3 linked regions of the Macaca mulatta genome follow. The protein of the gene in region 3 interacts with the protein of the main gene of each other region in a pairwise test. Links are inferred from orthologs where the notes say so. Each region holds a gene or a part of one and is shown on either strand. Other genes may lie near its edges.

Region 1 (6,838 bases), on a different chromosome or scaffold from region 3:
TTCCTGCAGCTGCAACCTGACTGGGAGGGTGGAACGTGGCTCCAGGTTCCACCATCCCTTCCAATGGGAGTGAGAGCCTGTCTCAGAGCAAGAGACTGTTGTGGGTGGGGTGTGTGTGTGTCCTGTGTGTCCTGTGTTCCCAGTGTCTGTCCCTCATGGGCCTGTGTCTGTCTCTTGGCACATGTCAGGGTGAGCAGGGATCTCGTGGCTGCAGGTCCCTCGTGTGTACATGTATGCCTGCTCATGTATGTGTCTGGGAATGCCTGGGGGCCAGCCCGTCCCGGGGGTCCCTGGCAGAGGGGGCAGGTGCTTGGGGAGGACTCAAGGCATACAAGGTGGTGGCTCCAGTGATGGCGCTGGCCCAGTCAAGTGTGTGCCTGTCCCTGCTCCACAGAATGACCGTGTGGCTGTCCACAGCCCCGACAGAGCCCCTGACTCACTGGTACCAGGTGCGGTGCCTGTTCCAGTCACCACTGTTCGCCAAGGCAGGGGACACGCTCTCAGGGACATGTCTGCTTATTGCCAACAAGAGGTGTGACTGCTCCCTGGGGCTGGTGGTGGGGGGCAGGGGTCCATCTTCCCAGCCACTCACGCCGCGGCCTGCACCCTCTCCACAGACAGAGCTACGACATCAGTATTGTGGCCCAGGTGGACCAGACCGGCTCTAAGTCCAGTAACCTCCTGGATCTAAAAAACCCCTTCTTCAGGTAGGAGGGGCACCCTACCTGCACGGGGTGGGGGCGCCCCGGCCCTGCAGCCCCCTTGCCCCTGCCCATGGCTCTGTCTCTGCCACAGATACACGGGCACGACACCCTCACCCCCACCCGGCTCCCACTACACATCTCCCTCGGAAAACATGTGGAACACAGGCAGCACCTACAACCTCAGCAGCGGGATGGCCGTGGCAGGTGAGCAGGGCACGCCCCAATGCCCAGCCAACCCGGGAGGCCGCCCTCACTGCAGGCCTGGCCCCTCTGCCTCCAGCCCTGACGTCTCCCCTCTCTGGGCACAGGGATGCCGACCGCCTACGACCTGAGCAGTGTTATTGCCAGTGGCTCCAGCGTGGGCCACAACAACCTGATTCCTTTAGGTGAGTGTCCCCCAGGGCCAGGGTCAGCAGAGAGCCATGCCCAGGACTGCCCAGAGGCCGGGAAGGGCCTGTGGCAACCAGGGTCGGCCTGTGCTTGGTCCTTTCGCCTTTTCCTCTTCCAGGGGGCTCTCGGCCGAGGCCCTCCGTCCTCTCTGCCTCGCTCTGCAGCCTGCTGCTGCGCATGGGCTGGGTGGCTGGGGGCGGTGACGCCGTCTCCCTTCCTTCTTTCCTCCCTCTTGCTGCGCAGCCAACACGGGGATTGTCAATCACACCCACTCCCGGATGGGCTCCATAATGAGCACGGGGATTGTCCAAGGTAATGAGGGTGGCGGGGGCAGGGCCCGTGGGGGCCGAGCTAGCGTGTGAGTCGCCATCCTCTGTCCGGCCGCCCGCCTGCCCTCTTGCCTGCCCTTCCTCTCTGTGACTCTGCCTGGGGGCTGGGTGGGCCAGGGCAGCCCCTCACTGCCATCGCCTGCCCCACAGGGTCCTCCGGCGCCCAGGGCAGCGGTGGTGGCGGCACCAGTGCCCACTATGCAGTCAACAGCCAGTTCACCATGGGCGGCCCTGCCATCTCCATGGCGTCGCCCATGTCCATCCCGACCAACACCATGCACTACGGGAGCTAGGGGCCTGCCCCGCGGACTGACAGCACCAGGAAACCAAATGATGTCCCCGCCCGCCCCCCCGCCGGGCGGCTTTCCCCCTTGTACTGGAGAAGCCCGAACACCCGGTCACAGCCCTCTTTGCTATGGGAACTGGGACACTTTTTTACACGATGTTGCCGCCATCCCCACCCTAACCCCCACCTCCTAGCCCTGAGCGTGTGTCGCTGCCATATTTTACACAAAATCATGTCGTGGGAGCCCTCGTCCCCCTCCTGCCCGCTCCACCCTGACCTGGGATTGTCATCTGTTGGAACAGGCGCCATGGGGCCTGCCAGCCCTGCCTGCCAGGTCCCTTAGCACCTGTTCCCCTGCCTGTCTCCAGTGGGAAGGTAGCCTGGCCAGGCGGGGCCTCCCCTTCGACGACCAGGCCTTGGTCACAACGGACGTGACATGCTGCTTTTTTTAATTTTATTTTTTTACGAAAAGAACCAGTGTCAATCCGCAGACCCTCTGTGAAGCCAGGCCGGCCGGGCCGAGCCAGCAGCCCCTCCCCCTAGACTCAAGAGGCGCCGCAGGGAGGGGTGGCCCCGCTGAGGCTTCAGGGGCCCCCTCCCCACCAAAGGGTTCACCTCACACTTGAATGTACAACCCACCCCACTGTCGGGAAGGCCTCCGTCCTCGGCCCCTGCCTCTTGCTGCTGTCCTGTCCCCGAGCCCCTGCAGTCCCCCCAGCTCCCCCCACCCAGAGTTAGAGCAGGTGGCTGCAGGCCTTGGGCCCGGAGGAAAGGCCACTGCCGGCCACTTGGGGCAGACACAGACACCTCAAAGATCTGTCACGGAAGGCGTCCTTTTTCCTTGTAGCTAATGTTAGGCCTGAGTAGCTCCCCTCCATCCTTGTAGACGCTCCAGTCCCTACTACTGTGACGGCATTTCCGTCCCTCCCCTGCCTGGGAAGGGACCTTGCAGGGACCTCTCCCTCCAGAAAAAAAAAAAAGAAAAAGAAAAAATAAACAAGGAAACGTGTTACAGCACAGGCAGTTTTCTTCTCCTTCTGCTCCCCTGTTTCTGACACCCCCAAACTCAGATGCTGGAGCTCAGGCCCGGACCCAGGCCCGCCATATGTGCACCCAGGCAGGAGCGGGTGCTGTCCAGGCTGGGGCGCCCCCTTGGCTCGCTCTCCTGTTCCAGGGGAGCCATGGGAGGGAAAGCAGGTGGCCCAGGGGGATATGGGAGCCCCAGCCCTGTCCCAAAGCTCCCTGCTCGGCTGCCCCTCTCCCGCCTTTATATAAATTCTCTGAATCACCTTTGCATAGAAAATAAAAGTGTTTGCTTTGTAAGAAAAGTCTGGAAAGTAGCAGAGTCATCTCAAGGTGTCAAGGGAGCCTTCAGTCATCATCTGGGGGGCAGGACAGGCAGAGGGGTTGGTCCACTTAGGTGTTGCCTGAAAGAAAGAATTGTCTGGGAGTGTCCCCAGAACCTCTTACCTTGACTGGGGGTGGGAGGGCAGCCCCCTTAGCCCAGCTGGAAACAGTCCTTACCTGTGGGACCCGGGCCTTTCTAGGAGGGGGCCATGGACTGAGGCAGGGTAGGGGGCAGCGGGATGTTTGAGGGCAGAGATGTGATTTGGGGTGGAGGAGCCACCTTCTCCGGAGGCAGCGACTGGAAGAAGTACAACTGCACAAGACCCCTGGGGTCAGAGGCAGGGCCAGCGCACACCCCCCCCCAGCCCCTCAGCCCCACCTGAGGTACACCTGTGGCCACCCCAGACCTGTACCTTACAGCCCACGGCCAGGAGTGCATGGAGCAGCACAACCGCAGACAGCAGCACCATGGCCACCAGCCTAGTGTCCTCACGGACCACAGGCCAGAGGGTGAATACCAGCCCGGTGGCCGACAGGCCCAGGGCCAGTGCCCCAAAAAGCCACTGCAGCCAAGGCACAGGGATGAGCCACAGGACCTGGGAGCAACACGGCGGCAGGTGACCATGCCAGTCCCCACAGCCACCACCCACTCCGCACCAGGCCACCCTCACCACCATGGGAGTGAGGCAGCAGGTGACCATGCCAGTGTCCCCACACAGCCGCCACCCACTCCGCGCCAGGCCACACTCACCACCATGGGGATGAAGACAAAGAGGGAGTAGCCGTAGACGCACACGGTCTCCAGGAAGGTGTAGGGCCCCATGCGCTCCCGGACACCCTTGCGCCACCGCAGAAAACCCCACAGGGCCAGGGGCACCAGCCACGCGTAGCAGTAGATGCTGATGCCTGCCACGGTCACTGGGGGCAAGGTGAGCAGTCACCCCCTGCCCCCCGGGGCCCTGCCAGGCATCGGTCCTGCCCGCCTGCTTACCCTTGTGGAACTGGGGGCTGTAGTGGATGGAGGGGTCTCTCCTCTGGGCCAGCACTAGCGTCAGGTTGCCAGTGACAGCCAAGACGAAGGCCAACGTGGCACAGATCCAGAAGGGGCCTGAGGATGGGGGGCACAGTCAGAGTCCCCCCACCTGTGATCTCCCTGCAGCTCATTTACTCCAGTGGTAATGCCGCCCTGCAGTTCATGCAAGTTCCTGCCATGAAGCTTATGCTGTTTCTGGAACCCTCTTTTCCTAGGTCTCCCCTACCCCTCCCGTTGCCAACAAGGCTCATTCCCTCACCCTGCTCAGGGAGGCCTGCCCTGCTGCACCCTGCAAAACAGCAAGGCCGCTCCTCCTATATGCTCTCTACCCGCCACCCTCTGCAGTCCTTCATGTCTGTCTCCCTGAACAGCAGGTAAGTCACACTCTCTGAGTGACTGATTTGTCCTCAGCTGTACACTGGTGTCTGCAACTCAGGCCACATTTGTTGAGTGATCCATCAAGGAACCAAATGTACCTCACTCACCATACAGATCTGGCCGATTCCGCAGATGGTGCCGCACAAAGTTGTGGCCAGGCCGGGGCAGCAGTGAGCCTTTGATCCGGTTCAGGACCTGGGGGCAAGGCCGAGGTCAAGGATGGAGGCCTGCCAGGAGCTTCTCCCTTGTCCTGAGAGGCTCCTTCCCTGCTGACCTCCACCCTCCTGTCTCCATGCCCCACCTGAAAGAACTCAGCCTTTCCCTCTTTTTTTTTTCTTTTTTTAGACAGAGTCTCACTCTGTCGGCCAGGCTGGATAGAGTGCAGTGACACGATCTCTGCTCACTGCAACCTCTGCCTCCTGGGCTCAAGCAACTCTCCTGGCTCAGCCACCTGGGTAGCTGGAATTACAGGCGTGTGCCACCACGCCCGACTAATTTTTGTATTTTTAGTAGAGACAGGGTTTTGCCATGTTGACCAGGCTGGTCTCAAACTCCTGACCTCAGGTAATATGCCCACCTCAGCCTCCCAAAGTGCTGGGATTACAGGCGTGAGCCACTGCGCCCAGCCCCAGCCCCCTTTTTCTTTTTGAGATGGAGTGTCACTCTGTCCTCCCAGCTGGAATGCGGTGGCATGATCTTGGCTCACTGCCACCTCCGCCTCCCAGATTCAAGCGATTCTCATGCCTCAGCCTCCTGAGTAGCTGGGACTACAGGCCATGCGCCACCATGCCTGGCTAATTTTTGTATTTTTAGTAGAGATGGGGTTTCACCATGTTGGCCAGGCTGGTCTCCAACTCCTGACCTCAAGTGATCCACCACTTCGGCCTCCCAAAGTGCTAGGATTACAGGTGCCCAACCACTGCACCTGGCTAATTTTAGTATTTTTGTTTTGTTTTGTTTTGGTTTGGTTTTTTGAGACAGAGTCTCACTCTGTCGCCCAGGCTGGAGTGCAGTGGCGCCATCTTGGCTCACTGCAAGCTCCGCCTCCCGAGTTCACGCCATTCTCCTGCCTCAGCCTCCCAAGTAGCTGGGACTACAGGCGCCTGCACCCACACCCTAATTTGTTTGTATTTTTAGTAGAGACGGGGTTTCACCGTGTTAGCCAGGATGGTCTCGATCTCTTGACCTCGTGATCTGCCTGCCTTGGCCTCTCAAAGTGCTGGGATTACAGGTATGAGCCACCACGCCCGGTCTAATTTTTGTATTTTTATTTTATTTATTTATTTATTTTGAGACAGAGTCTCACTCTTTTTGCCCAGGCTGGAGTGCACTGGCGTGATCTCGGCTCACTGCAACCTCTGCCTCGCAGGTTCAAGCGATTCTCCTGCCTCAGCCTCCAGAGTAGCTGAGATTACAGGGCCTCAACACCAAGCCTGGCTGATTTTGTTGTATTTTTAGTAGAGATGGGGTTTCACCATGTTAGCCAGGCTGGTCTTGAACTCCTGAGCTCAGGTGATCTGCCCACCTCAGTCCCCCGAAGTGCTGGAATTACAGGCGGGGAGCTACTGCCCCCAGCCCATCTTTGATCTTCTGCATATGCTGTTCCCTTTGCCTGGAACATACTTCAGCTCCCCTCCCCCATTCCCCAGGAAGCGTTCCTTCTCCTTTAGGTTTCAGCCAATTCCTCACGTCCTCCACGAGGTCTTCCTCTAACCCACGAGATTGTGTGTGTCCCCTGTGTTCCTACAGTCCCGATCCATAACCAGTCCCACCATAACCCTTTGAGAGCACCACAGTTCCTTCACCCGCACTCGCCATCACCAGCACCCTGCCCAGGGAAAGTGTGGCTGAACCCTGAGCATAACTCTGAGCCCCACCTCACCTGCCTCCCCAGGCCTGACCTGTGAGGTGTCCACGTCAAAGAAGCTCTGATAGTAGCTGAAGGTCCAGAATCCGGGCTGCTGCTGCTGCTTCTCCTGCAGGAGCTGCACATTGCGGGCATTCAGCGCCTGCCCCGACAGCGTGGATCAGCTGGGAGCTGCACAGAGGCAGGACACAGGGACTCACCGCGGCCTTGTCACTCTCCTCCTCCACCTCATCCTCGGCTCCATAGCTGCCACCTGAGCCCACGGCCACAGCCACGTGCCCTTGTGGGGTCAGCTGATCACTTCTGCTGGTTGTGGCTGCATCTGGGGTCTCAGCCAGAAGATTAGTGGCCTCCTCGAATTCTGTGGAGCAGGGACATGGGACACACGCACGCTTGAGGGGTGGAAAGAATTCGACTGGGCTCCAGCCAAGTCAATGCTCATCTGGGAGCGGAGGCTCTGCTAAGCCACTGATCTCCCCCAAGGTGGGGGGCCCAACTTCCTCA
Region 2 (7,076 bases), on a different chromosome or scaffold from region 3:
TGCCAACTCAGAGCATCTAATTCAGTACCTAGTCCCTCAAATATTTATATACCACTGAATACTTATTTGGGTCCACTAACTGCCATTCATTCATTCATTCATTCATTCATTCATCAGTACTGAAATACTATACAGCTAATTATTTCTTCTTTTAAAAGAGGCACATACTCAGGAAACAGGCCTGATTACAACAAAAGCCTACTGGAGTATCAATGACTTCTAACAAATCGGCCTGCCCTAAATGGGATTTCACTGGATTTTTTTTTTTTAACATAATTTTTGAGACTTTTAAAACTGACAAACGGAGCCAACTCAAAAATATTAAGAATTACAAAAATAATTTCCACCAGGGTACTTTTCCCCTAGGCCTGATCTTTTAGTGTCTTTTTTTCCAAACATATTTAAGAACAGAGGAAAAAAGCAATTGCTTTAGTTTCTATGTTTGGGTAACTAAATCTACCCACACACAAGAGAATAACAAAAGCAAACAGTACAGTGGGAAATATACCAGAAAGCAAAAAAAAGATCATCACATTAAATGTAAATGAGGTAAATTTTTATAATAAAGAATCTTTTATGAAGATGTCTCAAACCAAATGTACTTTCCAATTTCTTGGGCACTGGGGATGTTGAAGTGTAGTCAGATGAGTATATAACCCTATAGGGCTCATGTGCATAAAAATCAAAGCAGGATATAGCTGCCTCCAAGAGCATGTACGTATGTATGTAATGCCTGACCTTTAGAAACCTCTGAGCTCTCTCACCTTTGTCTAACCACAGGACATTAAATATACCCTGATAATACAGGCAAAAAAAACCTGGGTAGATGTGTCTGATATTTTTAAACCCAAATTCTACGAATAGTACCAAGTTGCCCTCCACTTAAAAAAAGTAATTCTAACCAATAATGGAGAAAAACCATCCACATTTTCACACAATCCCACCTTACTTCAAAATATAAAGTACAAGGTTTCAGGTATTTAAAATAAATAAAGAAAAATCTTGTTTCCTTTGGCATCTTTAGAAAATAAACTACAACAATAAAAGGAGGTGGTTGTATAAAGACATGCTTAAGCAAACATATGGGGAAAAAACAGCAACTTGTGTTTAGTATGCAATAATATCAACTATAAGAGTTTACTGTTAATTAGGAAAGCCTTACAAATTTTTGGAAGAACCTTCACATCTTTAACATTACAATATATTTAATAATGGTTCTTTTATTGCTTCTAGTATCAAGATTATTGAGAAGTCAAATGAAGTTATGCTGACGTTATGATTCAAAAATTATCTTCCAAACACTTAACGATTATAATTTAAGATAAATAACACTTAAAGAAAGCAAACCTTTTATAATATTACTTTCAATATACAGCCTTACTTTAATTCAGTCTGATTCCATTACATTTTTGTTATTTTGTATTGGTCCTAAAAATTTAAAAAGAATTGTATTTCTATATATAGAACTGCCTGCATAAATCCACTTCAACCTTCATAAAATGGTCACATTAGTGTTTGATCTTGCAAAACTAATAATTTTCAAACTTTTGAACTTAGAATGAAATGAAAATTTAATACAAATAGTCTGACTATGTACAAGAGAAGGTAAAGTTTTCAATTCTCATATTATCAGAAACATCATAAAGAAAGCTAGATTTATAACACACTTCTATTCCTATGTGCATCTGAAGTATGTACAATAAAACACCAACACAGCTTTCATGTGTCAATAGGGGAAGTGCAAGCAAGAATGACTTGAAGTATCCAATAAAGCAATCGCTATAGACCCCAAAATCAGGCTAAAAACTACTGGAAACAGCTGACTGCATCCTTGCCAGTTCTCAAAGAAAAATTTCATCGTTTAAAAAACAGGTGTCAAACTCACTGAAAAACTAAGTTGGGTTCTTTCATTAAACCTGGGAATAATGTAACACCAAGTATTTACTATTTTTGCAAGAGAAATAAAATTGGCAGTTCCATTTTTACATTACTTAGGAAAAATTTAAGAGTGTTTGAAGAACTGGGACAAAACATTCCAAACCTACGACCTAAAAATGAAGCAAGGGATACATACTGTCCTTCAGCACATTTCCCCACCAAATACAGAGAAATTTACCATTAGAATATTAGCTTGTGTGGCAAGGTGGGGGTGGGGAAAGGGGTGGGAAGGGGGGAAACAGACACTATGTCCCAGTCTGTTGACAAGGACAAAAAGGCTCTGAATAGGTCACCATCTTCAATTCTGAATAAATTTCATATTTAAGAATTCTCAAATGCTTAAAATGGTGGTCTTTTCAGCTACCCATCCTAAGAAGTCAAGTACAAGCATGCAAGTAAATTCACAGGCACAGAGGATCCATGTTAAAAACAGTTAAGGTAGCTGTGATGCAACACCAACAATTTGAATGGCCCTGACACACTCAAAGTATTATCTTAATTATTCAACAAAATCCTGAAGCAAACTCTTGCTAGTCTTGGTACACTGCTAAACACTAAAGTAGCATGTTTCTTCCATGGTTTTAGCTTAGCTCAAGGAATTTTTACACTATTAAGAAAAAAAAAATTAAAGTATTTCCCCTTTTTAAATTTACACAGACGTTTAATTAGCTTTATTTACAGAGCAGGGATTTTTTTTTTTTTTTTCAGTCTCCAATGGTGCCTAGATAACATCATTAGGCAAGAATGCCAGTTTAAAAGAAATCTATGCAGAATCCTAAAAATAACAGATGTTGGTGCTCCTCAAGAAGAGGCAAGCTTGACTATATCAGCAGCTCTCTATGCCTCAGTTACTCAGAAGCAATTCTGTTGCAGTCTCTACATCCCATGATTTTGAAGACAAGGCCACTATTACTGCATTCTGTAGAGAAGAAAAGGGGACAAGAAATTAAATCTCAAGGAAACATTTAAACAATACTGAATCATTCACTCTTTATATTGGGAATTAACACCTTGTTTCTTTTCTGTAAGTTGATTTACATTTGCAGTGCATGAAAAGCTTCTAAAATCAATGACAGTGATCAGTAAAAATTAAAAAAAATCACTGATTTCGAAAACAGAAAATATGTTTACCAAAACTAGATTTTCTCTTATTTTCCTTTTTTTTTTTTTTTTGAGACAGGGTCTTGCTCTATCATCGAGGCTGGAGTGCAGTGGCATGACTATCGCTCACTGCAGCCTCGACCTCCTGACCTCCTGGGTCCAAGGGATTCTCTCACCTCAGCCTTCAGAGTAGCTGGGTTACAGGCACTCACCATCACGTCCAGCTAATTTTTGTAGAGATGCGTTTTGCCATGTTGCTCAGGCTGCGAATTTCTCTTAATTTTCTAAACCACTTTTGTCAGTCAAGAATTTGCAATAATTTAAAATCAATCAATATATCAAAATCAACATGCCCTTATGTACTTACCCTATCAAAGCCCATAGCACATAGGTTTTCTATTTTTTTGGTGTATTCTGGACTAGAAACTGGTGCTCCAGCATACACATGTGCCCAAAGTCGAGCTGTCTGTTTGAACATTTCGGGATTTTGTTTGTACTATATGGGGGGGAAAAAATTGATTGACATGACATTACAGTTATAATATTTGATATGGTATTTCAGCTCTTAATTGCCTACAATCCTACTTTTTCCAAATAAAACAAATCTACACTTAAAATGTGATTCACTTTGCATTATAGACAACCTATGTCACTCGAGAAAAGACCACTTAACCTGAAGCTTTCACTCACAATTTGTGTTGACAATAATAAAGACAAGTAACATTAATCTACTTTAATCTCCAAATCCAACAGATATAACTAGCAAAAGACTAAAATTAGATTAAGTGAAGTATTAAGAGATGTTCCAAACACTGTAAAGCAGCAAACATTATACAACTGAACACAGATTACTAGCTTATAAAAATATGTGGACATTAGCATAATTTTTTTTTTTTTGAGATGGAGTCTTGCTCTGTTGCCCAGGCTGGAGTGCAGTTGCCGGATCTCGGCTCGCTGCAAGCTCTGCCTCCCGGGTTTACGCCATTCTCCTGCCTCAGCCTCCCTAGTAGCTGGGACTACAGGCACCCGCCACCTCGCCCGGCTAGTTTTTTGTATTTTTTAGTAGAGACGGGGTTTCACCGTGTTAGCCAGGATGGTCTCGATCTCCGGACCTCGTGATCCGCCCGTCTCGGCCTCCCAAAGTGCTGGGATTACAGGCTTGAGCCACCGTGCCCGGCCGACATTAGAATAATTTTTTACAATGTGACCAGCTTTTGTATAACCCACAGCCCAGGCTAGAATACAACTAGATTCTTCTGTTTTCTTACAGCTGCATTAGTGTACAGTGATTTATGGAAACCCACATGCAAAGACCTAATTTATTACATAACTTGAGATGATCATAAACTCACAATAGAGTAATTTTATTAAAAGACTTCCCATATGCATTGGAAAGAGGTAAATTTATCAAATACTTTGGAACCACCATTACTTAGTAAAGCAAAGTATAAATTACTAATGCTTCAATTCACTTTAATATTTCTTTTAAAAGTACTTTATATATTTAAATCTATTACATATTAAAATGATAAATCTACTTTCTACCACTGATTCATCACAAGAAAATAAGTCAAATTATTGAACTATCTTAGGAGCTAGAAGAAACCCTTGAGTCCAACCTTAGCCTGTAAGGCTTAGAATTCAACAGGAAAGCAAAGCTGGAATACAAGCCATGCTTTTAACAACCAAATATGAATAAATAGCACATATATAAAAAAACATGGAAAATCCGAATTGGAAGTACTCTGAGGCAAATAACAGAATATACTGACAAGGATATATACATAAAGCAAGGAGTAAACAGATCTTCAAGGGAAAAGAAGATAATACATAAATTAAAATCTTATAGGTTAAAGAAATTTGCCAAGAGGAAGTTTCCTCAGGCAGAGGAAATATGGCAGATTGGATACAATATGTAAAAACGAATGCAATGCTTGAAAAAGCATGAGTTTGAAGAAAAGAATTTAGGAAATAAAGCTAGGTTTGCAGAGAGTTCAGATCATGGAAAAACTCTATGAACTAAAGAATTTGGACTCAAGTAGGTGACAGTAGAGCTACTAACAAGTTTTTGTTAGTGAAGTAAGATTTGCACTTTATAAAGCTACCTGATAGCAACGGAGAAGACGGAGAAAGGAAGAAAGAGGTTGAGAAAAGATCTATCAGAGCAGTTGAAAAGAATTTTTAAAAATGATCAGAGTAATTATGTAAATATAGTAACAGAATGATACAGGGAATGGTTATCAACAGGAGCAAAGGAGACAGAGAAAAACTCCAAAGGCTGTGACTTGGGTGGTTAACCATATGAATGTTCCTTAGATACCTGAGTGTAACACTACTGCCAAAACTGAATGCAATATCATAAATCCTACAAACCTATCATTCTATGATACCATCACCTACTAATTTAGTTAAACATCAGGCTCTCGTGAGAGAGGGCAAGCCTACACATTTCATCAATGTACGGGTGGTAACATCAGTATAGATACGATCATCCAAGTGTCAATGTGTACAGAAAGTAAAGGTAACAAGGTCAGAACTGAGGAACTACATTTAAGAAAGACGAGTAGGAAGGGAAATAATTGTGGGAACTAACAAAGAACAGCTATGAAGTGAGGAAGAAAAGTGGGTAATATCTTAGAAGTCAAGAGAAGAAAAACTAAGGTTTAAAAAAAAAAAAAAAAGAATGTTCATTATATTCCAATTGCTTAAAGTAGGTATTGGCAAACTTTTTTGTTTTTTGAGAAAGGGTTCCGTTCTGTCACCCAGGCTGGAGTGCAATGGCGTGATCTCGGCTCACTGCAACCTCTGCCTCCCAGGTTCAAGCAATTCTCCCACTTCAGCCTTTCAGGTAGCTGGGACTACAGGTGCGTCCCACCACGCCGGGCTAGTTTTGTGTTTTTTGTAGAGATAGGGTTTCACCACCTATTGGTCCTGTTGGTCAGGCTGGTCTGGAACTCCTGACCTTAAGTGATCCACCCACCTTGGCCTCCCAGAGTGCTGGGATTACAGGCATGAGCCACCGCACCTGGCCAGCAAACTGTTTCTTAATGGGTCAGATACTAATAACTTAGGTCCAGTCTCTGATGTAATTATTAAACTCAGCCACTGTAGCTAGAAAGTGAAATGAAAAATATTTATTCCATTCAACAAATTACCAGGTCATTGGAGACTGTGCCATGCCATGTCAGTGCCATGATAGGAGGTGATTAAAATTATTAGCAGGAGGGATCATCCTTCCTGAATAGAAGGATAAAAAGATGGATACATACACCAGCATTAATCCTAGAATCTAGATGGTAGGAATATGGGTGTTCACTGTGTAATTCTTTTGACTTTATGTGTTTGAAAATACTCATGTTAGGAAAATAGCATCTATATCCAACTAAACTAGATGTTAAAAGTCTATTAAGTTTTCACTATTACACCTGACAAAATAATCCTACAAGAAAGAAAACCATTTCAAAATTTAGTTTCAATAGAGTATGCTCATGTGTTAATGTGCAAACCATTAAAGCGGTTAAAGACTCACACATAATGTAAGGAAGTCTTTCAAAAGCAGCCATCTTACCTGATTTGCTACTACAGCATCCTGTGGATCATCTGGTTCTGCAGCTGCCAATAGTGCTTGCAATGACAATAATACCGTGCGGAGAGTCATTGCAGCTGCCCTAAAATTCAAATATGAAAATATCCCAATTAAGAGGGCTCTGCAGGCAAAAGCAATTAAGTACTTTCTTAATAAAAATTAAAAAATTGTGGAGCTAAAAGTTACTTAGATCTTTATCTTAATTATACAGTTAAGTAATAGACATTTATAATTATGTATCTGCCTATCATTTATTTTCTTCCTTACTTTACAATTTGCCTATTTCTTTTTTCTTTTTTTTGGAGACAGGGTCTCACTCTGCCGCTCAGGCTGGAGTGGGCAGTGGCATTATCTTGTCTCACTGCGACCTCTGCCTCCTGGGTTCAAGCGATTCTCCTGCCTCAGCCTCCCAAGTAGCTGGAACTCCAAGCACACACCACCACACCCAGCA
Region 3 (7,621 bases):
AACCTTAATTTCTATCAAGATCCCTGACTCAATAATCCTACTCCTGGAAATCCTAATAAAATGCCATTATTCAAACTCAAAAAAGAAAAAAAGAAAAAAGTGGCAGTGCGCGGTGGCTCACACTTGTAATCCCAGCACTTTGGTAGGCCGAGGAGGGCAGATCATCTGAGCTTGGGAGACCAGCCTGACCAACATAGAGAAACCCTGTTTCTACTAAAAATACAAAAATTAGCCAGGTGTGGTGGCACATGCCTGTAATCCCAGCTACTCTGGAGGCTGAGGAGAACTGTTTGAACCCGGGAGGCAGAGGTTTTGGTGAGCCGAGATCGCACCAATGAAACTCCAGCCTGGGCAACAAGAGTGAAACTCCATCTCAAAAAAAAAGGTGTACAAAGATAGTCACTGTAGCATTATTATTTAAACAGCAAAATGGGGAAACAACTAAAAGGTCCTTCGATGAGGAAAACCCAAATTATAATGAACCAAAACTCAATGAGTTCCCAGTAATAGCATGGAAAAATAAAAAAAAATAAAAAACTCAATGGGATAAATGGCAGCCTAAATAATAAAGAGGACACTTCAGAGCATCATGGAAAACCTGCCAAAATTAAATTTTAAAGCAAACAGAATGGTGATGGCTACATAAAAATACATATGCACAGCATACAGATAAAGAGAACATGAGGAAATGAGAATATACTTGTTCTGGGCTCTTGGCAATGCGGGTAAATATTTTGCTTTTAAAATTTCTTTAACATTTTAACAGAATTTTTTTTTTCTTTTTGAGATGGAGTCTCGCTCTGTCGCCCAGGTTGGAGTGCAGTGGCCGGATCTCAGCTCACTGCAAGCTCTGCCTCCTGGGTTCACGCCATTCTCCTGTCTCAGCCTCCCGAGTAGCTGGGACTATAGGTTCCCACCACCTCACCCGGCTAGTTTTTTGTATTTTTTAGTAGAGATGGGGTTTCACCGTGTTAGCCAGGATGGTCTCGATCTCCTGACCTCGTGATCCGCCCGTCTCGGCCTCCCAAAGTGCTGGGATTACAGGCTTGAGCCACCGCGCCCGGCCCAGAATTTTTTTTAAGAGTAACATTTGATGTAAATATGCAAAAAAGTTTAAAATGTTTTTGTTCCTAGCCACTAGACCACTAGAGATAAATGTGCAATTTTTTTTTAGCCAGTAATTTTACTTCTAAGAATTTATCCTAAGCTAGGCACAGTGGTTCACGCCTGTAATCCTAACACTTTGGGAGGCTGAGATGGGAGGATTGCTTGAGCCCAGGAGTTAGAGACCAGCCTGGGCAACATAGTGAGACCTTGTTTCTACCAAACAAACAAACAAACAAACAAACAAAAAACTAGCTGGGCATGGTGCCGTGCACCTGTGGTCCCAGCTACATGGGAGGTTGAGGTAGACTGTTTGAGCCCAGGATGTCGAGGCTACAGTGAACCGTGATCACGCCACTGCACTCCAGCCTGGGCTACAGAGTGAGACCCTGTCTTATTCTAATAAAATAACAGTGAATACGCTCACAAATTTATCTGTAAGTTCATCAGGATATTTTTTAAATTGGAAAAAGAAAGCTGCTAAATGTCTAACAAAGGATTGAATTATGTTAAATCCACACAACTAAATGCTAAACAGCTAGTTAGTAAAATATTGCTGGTAATGTAAAATCTCAAGATAATACTAAGACTCCCACTCACACAAAGAAGGCACTAAATATCTGCAGAACAAATGAAATTTTAAGAGAGGGTTACAAAACAGGAGCCACGTATTGTAAAAAACAAAAAAATTGTAAAACGTATACACACATCTATAAAATACACGCATAGATTTATAAAATTTGTGTGTATATATAATTATAGAAAAATGGAAAAGAAAATAGAACCAAAATGTTTCCAGTGGTTACCTCTGGATTGGTGTGGTTATAAGTGATTTTTCCCCCTCTTTTCCTTTCTGTATTTTACAAGTTTTCCTGTACTTTTATAATCAAGGAGAAATATTGTAAGGCTAAGAAGGAAACTTCTAAAGCCATCAGCTCATTTGTAGAAGCTTCTCCTAGAATGTTCCTCACCCCTCTATTCTCCGGCTCTGGCCTCTGTCCTTGAGGACGAGGAGGGGTCTTCTCTCTGAAACAGAAATGGTGTAAAATAAGTCTATTACAAATTGCTTTGAGTTGCTCCCCGTGAGGACCTGGAGCTCTTCACCAACAGGGTCAGGGCCATAGCCTCTTTCTTGCCCAGGACATGAACTTATGTCAAATTAATTCTCCAAATACTAACTCTTCATTTTACCTGCAACTGTTCTTCCCACCTGTATAGAGGACCAGGGAGAAAATCAGCTTGTTACGAGATATTCACCAGATTGCACTACAGCCTTCTCTTACAGAGATCCTGACTCGGACTGGTTAGGAATCATGGCCAGATGCCTTCCCTGGGCCTGTCAGATACCAGAAATTCCAAATCCATACTGGAACAGAGGGTGGGTTGTCAGCAGTTAAGGACTGAGGTTCATGGTTTCTCTGACCTTCCCCTACTAACTTCAGTTCTATCTCACACTATTCTTGGGCAAATACCCGATGCTATTATTTTTGAGCCTCACCCCCTCTGATCACTCAACCCATGAATACTCAATTGAGGGCTGAGTTACACAATAAGCATTATGCAGGATGCTATAATACTGAGACTGATGACAGACGCAAGAGGTGTTCATGGTTTCAACGGGGATAGAGCCAATCACATGACAGTGCGGTGGGAACTGGGTGAGAGCAACTAATGTGGAGAAGACAGACCGCTTCAAGGAAGAGGGGACTTTAGGGCTGCTCATAAGAGATGAGTAGAAGTTAGAGGAGAAGGTGGGGGTAGAGGGGTAGCTCGAGCAGGACTGGGGAGGGAAGAAGGCAGAAGAGAGAGCAAATACACAGGCTGATAAATGTGAAAGAGCAAGTCCCTTTAAGAGAAGTCTAATATGTTGGGTACACAGCATATGCTAGGGTAGGCAGGAGAAGGTAAGAGATTCTTCGGGAAAGCTTGGGGATGCCAGACCATGAAAGGTTCTCGTACTTGTGTTTGTGGAACGCTGGACCCATGCACATCTCCATTTCTAGAAATCCCAAACTCCACAAAGTCACCCAGATCCTGTTTCCTCTCCCCCGATGCTTCATACGTCTCTGATGCAGCAACCCTACTCCCTGGAGCCTCTCCTGCTACATAGCCTGCTTCCCAGGCTGCAGAAGTGCTCTTTCACAGTGCTCTGTACACTTGTGATTGTGATGTCTGTCCACTGCTGGGTCCCAGCAAGCGGCAACTTGGATCCCCTCTCTTCCCTCCCCTCCTAGCTGACTCTCATCTGGATGAGACTGTTTCAAAACCAAGGGATCATCTAGTACTAAGTAAAGGGTGGGGTTAGGGGATGCTGAATGGGAATGAATTCACGTCCAAGGGGAAAAGTGGGTGGGAGAGGCATCCTAAGTCCTCACCTGGGGTCCTGTTGCCCAGTGCTGCCCCTTCCATAGAGGGGGATGACTTTGTCTCGGCTGATGCCAGCTTTGCAAACGGGACACACCTGTCTGTTAGGTCGGGTCTCCAACCACTGCAAATAGGAGAGAAAAATGCATGAATGGCCCAAGACCCACCAGAGTGATCAGCCAGAGCCGCCATAACAACATAGGCCAGAGGCCTCAAACTGGGAAACACCAGCATGAGCAGGGAACACCTCAAGGAATCCGACTCCCGTTCCTTCTCCTAGCATTCAACAAATACTTACCAGTGATAAAATCAAAATTGCCTTTAAATATCATCATAACTGGCTGGGTGCGGTGGCTCATGCCTGTAATCCCAGCACTTTGGGAGGCGGAGGTGGGTGGACCACCTGAGGTCAGGAGTTCAAGAGCAGCCTGGCCAACATAGTGAAGCCCCATCTCTACTAAAAATACAAAAATTAGTCAGGCGTGGTGGTGCATGCCTGTAGTTCCAGCTACTCGGGAGGCTGAGGCAGGAGAATCACTTGAACCCGGGAGGTGAAGGTTGCAGTGAGCCGAGATTGCACCACTGCATTCCAGCCTGGGTGACAAGACTCTGTCTCAAAAAAAAAAAAAAAAAAAAAAAAAAAATCACAAAGCTTCTTCATACTGTGTTTCTCTCTAGGGCCTCCTAGCAACACGGGGGAGGGAAACTGCAAGCCTGGGGCTGTCAAGTCTGACATACCCAGCATCAATTTAGGCTGCTGGTATAAGTATAGCAAACTTTAAATCCCCACCTTCCCAGTAGGAGCAACTGTATTTTCCTGTCAAAAAGACAAAAAAAACTAGCTGGGTGTGGTGGCATGCACCTGTAATCCCAGCTACCCAGGAGGCTGAGGCACAAAGAATCGCTTGAACCCAGGAGGCAGAGGTTCCCGCCAAGATCTCACCATTGCACTCCAGCCTGGGCAACAGAGCAAGACTCCGTCTCAAAAACAAAAAACAAAAAAAAATTAATTTTCTTAAAAAAACAAGTGATAAAAATGTTTTTTTTTTTTCGAAACAGTCTCACTCTGTCACCCAGGCTGGAGTGCAGTGGCGCAATCTCAGCTCATTGCAACCTCCGCCTCCCAGATTCAAGCAATTCTCATGCCTCAGCCTCCCTAGTAGCTGGGACTATAGGCGTGCACCACCATGCCCGGCTAATTTTTGTATTTTTTGTAGAGACGGGATTTTGCCATGTTTGCCAGACTATTCTCAAACTCCTTGCCTCAAGTGATCCACCTGCCTTGGCCTCCCTAAGTGCTGGAATTACAGGCGTGAGCCACCACACCTCACCAAAATGTGTTTTTATAGACATTCTATAAACATGAATTACTTCAGGGCTGAGGAGATAGCAGCATTGAATGATTTTATTTCATACTCTTGCTGTTCATAGCTCCAAAACTAATGTGTTATGTGTTCTTCATAAACTCACAGTCAATATGTTCTACCAGGTCCTGCTGGGGACAGAATGTGCAGCCCTGTTCCCACCTTCTTTCTCCCATCCAGATTCTGAAGCTTTAGCAGTCTGGAACTTCTGTCCTCCCCTACATTCCTAGGCCACCTACAAGTGTGGTACTCTACTGCTGACAACCAGGGAGACATTTAGCTGGCTGTGATTATTCACAGCCACTTGTGAATGCCAGGCTTTAGCAGGTGCTAAAGCTGGGAAAATAGACTTTTCTCTCCTCACAAAAGCTCTTTGTTGACACCAAAAAAGTTTTCCCCTTCCTAATATTTTCATAAATTTTAAGGGCTGGGGGACTGTTGATATGATAGGAGGTACTGTTTTAATAGAAGCAGAATCTCAAAAATAAAAAGGACCTAACTAACATACTATCAATCCAATCCAATTTATAAACGAGTAACTGAGACCCACAAAGGCCATCTGTGGCAGAATTAGGACCATCCCGATTTCATCAAGTGCCTGTCAGTGGGCAGGTATGTAAAGAAGGCTTTGGGGGTAAGTAAGCAAATGAGCCCACAAGCAGGGCAGATTGCAGCTTCTGACAGTAGTCTCCTGAGACTAGGGCTGTCTTGTGCAACCATAGCTGATGAAAGACAAAGTAAAATGAAATGCATCTTACCTGATGTAAACACGGCCAACTGCCGGAGTCCCCAGGGCAACCAGTCATCAAGGAGAAGGAGAAAAGGGGAAAGGAAGAAAAATGCTTTCATTAGCAGAAACACTTGATGGGTGGAGTGGTAGTAGCAGAATGAGAAAACAGGAGTAAACTATGGAACACTGCATGCCCACCGAGGTTCTGTAGGGATTACTGGTATTGGAAATTAGAAAAAACTGGGCTAAAAATCACAGAAAAAAAAATAACACAATGGAGATAAGACCCCAGTCTCTGCCCCTGAGATCTCAGCATATGTGAAATCCCCAGGGCTCAGACCACATAGACCCAGCTTCTCTACAAATCAACCTGTGAGAGGTTATAACATCTGAAGGAATCCAATAAAAGCTAGGGACGCCCTGTGCAAAAAAATTGACGGGAGCATTCACATACACATGTACCACATACTATTTTACACTCAATTTCAGTGGGTTCATAGTCTCCTCGGGTTCACAAGGGATGTGTGGATTCTCAGGTAGTCCAGATCCAGTTTAACAAAATCTTCAGGCTATCCTCATCTTTGAGAACTCTCCTAGCAGGAAGCAGCTTAAAAGGTCAGGTCTACTCTAAAAGCATCTTTAAGTAACAGGAAGGATGGGGATGCAATTGACAGAAAGGGCTACCTTCAGCTTAGAGAGCTGCTGTCCAATCTCTCCATTTTCAAATGAGGAAACCAAAGCTCAGAAACATAAAATGAACTGCATCAGGATTAAAAAAAACAAAAAAGTCTCCTGACTTCTAGTTCATCACCCTTTCTATAATCTAACACTGCATACAAAAAAAAATGACATTTACAGAATTGAAAGAAAAGTAATCAACTCCATTTTTTTTTTTTTTTGAGATGGAGTTTCGCTCTTGTTGCTCAAGCTGGAGTGCAGTTCACTCAGCTCACTGCAACCTCTGCCTCCCAGGTTCAAGGGATTCTCCTGTCTCAGCCGCCTGAGTAGCTGGGATTACAGGCATGCGCCACCATGCCCAGCTAATTTTTTGTATTTTTAGTAGAAACAGGGTTTCACCATGTTAGCCAGGCTGGTCTCGAACTCCTGACCTCAGGTGATCCACCCGCCTCGGCCTCCCAAAGTGCTAGGATTAAAGGCGTAAGACACTGCATCCGGCCCACATTTTAAATTTCTTTCTCTCATTTATTTAGTCAACACATATCTACTGTGTACCTACTACGTGCCAGGACAGTGGAAAATGCAGGCATAGCTTCTGTACCTCAGATACCAAGTATCTTTAGCTGAGTACACTTTGAACTCAACGGAGAGTTCCTTTTGCAATTCCTGAACCACAGTTTAGCTTTGCAAACCAAATACACAATCTTCCTGGACATAACATCTAACTCCAACATTAATATTGCAATGTCATTCTAAACTGAGTGGAGAACACTCCAAATCATGGCAGATTTCCAGTGGCAAGTTCCCTTAAAGGCTTTAGGGGGGAAGTGGAGGTGAATGAATGACCCTCAGGGGAGAGTTCAGGCTTTATAATAAGAACCATTCCTCCCATTTATTAAGCAAAGATAGTCATGTATCACTGAAAGACAGGGATAGTTCTGAGATATGTGTCATTAGGCAATTTCACCATTGTGTGAGCAGCATCAGAGAGTGTACTTACACAAACCTAGATGAAATAGCATACTACACACCTAGGCTACATAGTATAGCCTATTGCTAATAAGCTACAAACCTGAATAGCATGTGAATGTCATAGGCAACTGTAACAGAGTGGTAAATATTTGTGTATTTAAACATACCTAACATAGAGCCAAGGTGTGGTGGCTCACGCCTGTAATCCCAGCACTTTGAGAGCTAAGGTGGGCAGACTATTTGAAGTCAGGAGTTCGAGACCAGCCTGGCCAACATGGTGAAACCCCATCTCTATTAAAAATACAAAAACTAGCCATGTGTGGTGGCACATGCCTGTAATCCCAGGTACATGGGAGGCTGAAGCATGAGAATCAACTTGAACCTGAGAGGTGGAGGTTGCAGTGAGCTG

Evidence for each region.
Region 1: the proteins of RNF185 (region 3) and YIPF2 interact in binary tests that used the Homo sapiens proteins (3 or more experiments, as listed by UniProt). The two-hybrid records come from large-scale screens. The link is inferred for Macaca mulatta from reciprocal best matches to the Homo sapiens genes RNF185 and YIPF2.
Region 2: the proteins of RNF185 (region 3) and UBE2K interact in binary tests that used the Homo sapiens proteins (3 or more experiments, as listed by UniProt). The link is inferred for Macaca mulatta from reciprocal best matches to the Homo sapiens genes RNF185 and UBE2K.

The regions. Positions count from the first base shown.
Region 1 is NC_133424.1:11,658,866-11,665,703, forward strand, and holds the end of YIPF2 (protein YIPF2), read right to left. Parts: intron 6,696-6,838; coding exon 6,535-6,695; intron 6,453-6,534; coding exon 6,369-6,452; intron 4,663-6,368; coding exon 4,575-4,662; intron 4,165-4,574; coding exon 4,048-4,164; intron 3,975-4,047; coding exon 3,808-3,974; intron 3,653-3,807; coding exon 3,470-3,652; intron 3,370-3,469; coding exon 3,253-3,369; 3' UTR 3,234-3,252; intron 3,137-3,233; coding exon of another isoform or gene 3,056-3,136; 3' UTR 2,147-3,055; downstream 1-2,146. Other genes in the region: histone-arginine methyltransferase CARM1, read left to right, coding at 395-532, 618-707, 796-908, 1,013-1,090, 1,338-1,406, 1,574-1,716.
Region 2 is NC_133410.1:38,988,860-38,995,935, reverse strand, and holds the end of UBE2K (ubiquitin-conjugating enzyme E2 K), read right to left. Parts: intron 6,708-7,076; coding exon 6,608-6,707; intron 3,536-6,607; coding exon 3,407-3,535; intron 2,858-3,406; coding exon 2,783-2,857; 3' UTR 2,147-2,782; downstream 1-2,146. UniProt on the Homo sapiens protein: Accepts ubiquitin from the E1 complex and catalyzes its covalent attachment to other proteins. In vitro, in the presence or in the absence of BRCA1-BARD1 E3 ubiquitin-protein ligase complex, catalyzes the synthesis of 'Lys-48'-linked polyubiquitin chains.
Region 3 is NC_133415.1:20,323,947-20,331,567, forward strand, and holds part of RNF185 (E3 ubiquitin-protein ligase RNF185), read right to left. Parts: intron 5,610-7,621; coding exon of another isoform or gene 5,591-5,609; intron 3,593-5,590; coding exon 3,480-3,592; intron 2,131-3,479; coding exon 2,076-2,130; exon of another isoform or gene 1,911-2,075; intron 1-1,910. UniProt on the Homo sapiens protein: E3 ubiquitin-protein ligase that regulates selective mitochondrial autophagy by mediating 'Lys-63'-linked polyubiquitination of BNIP1.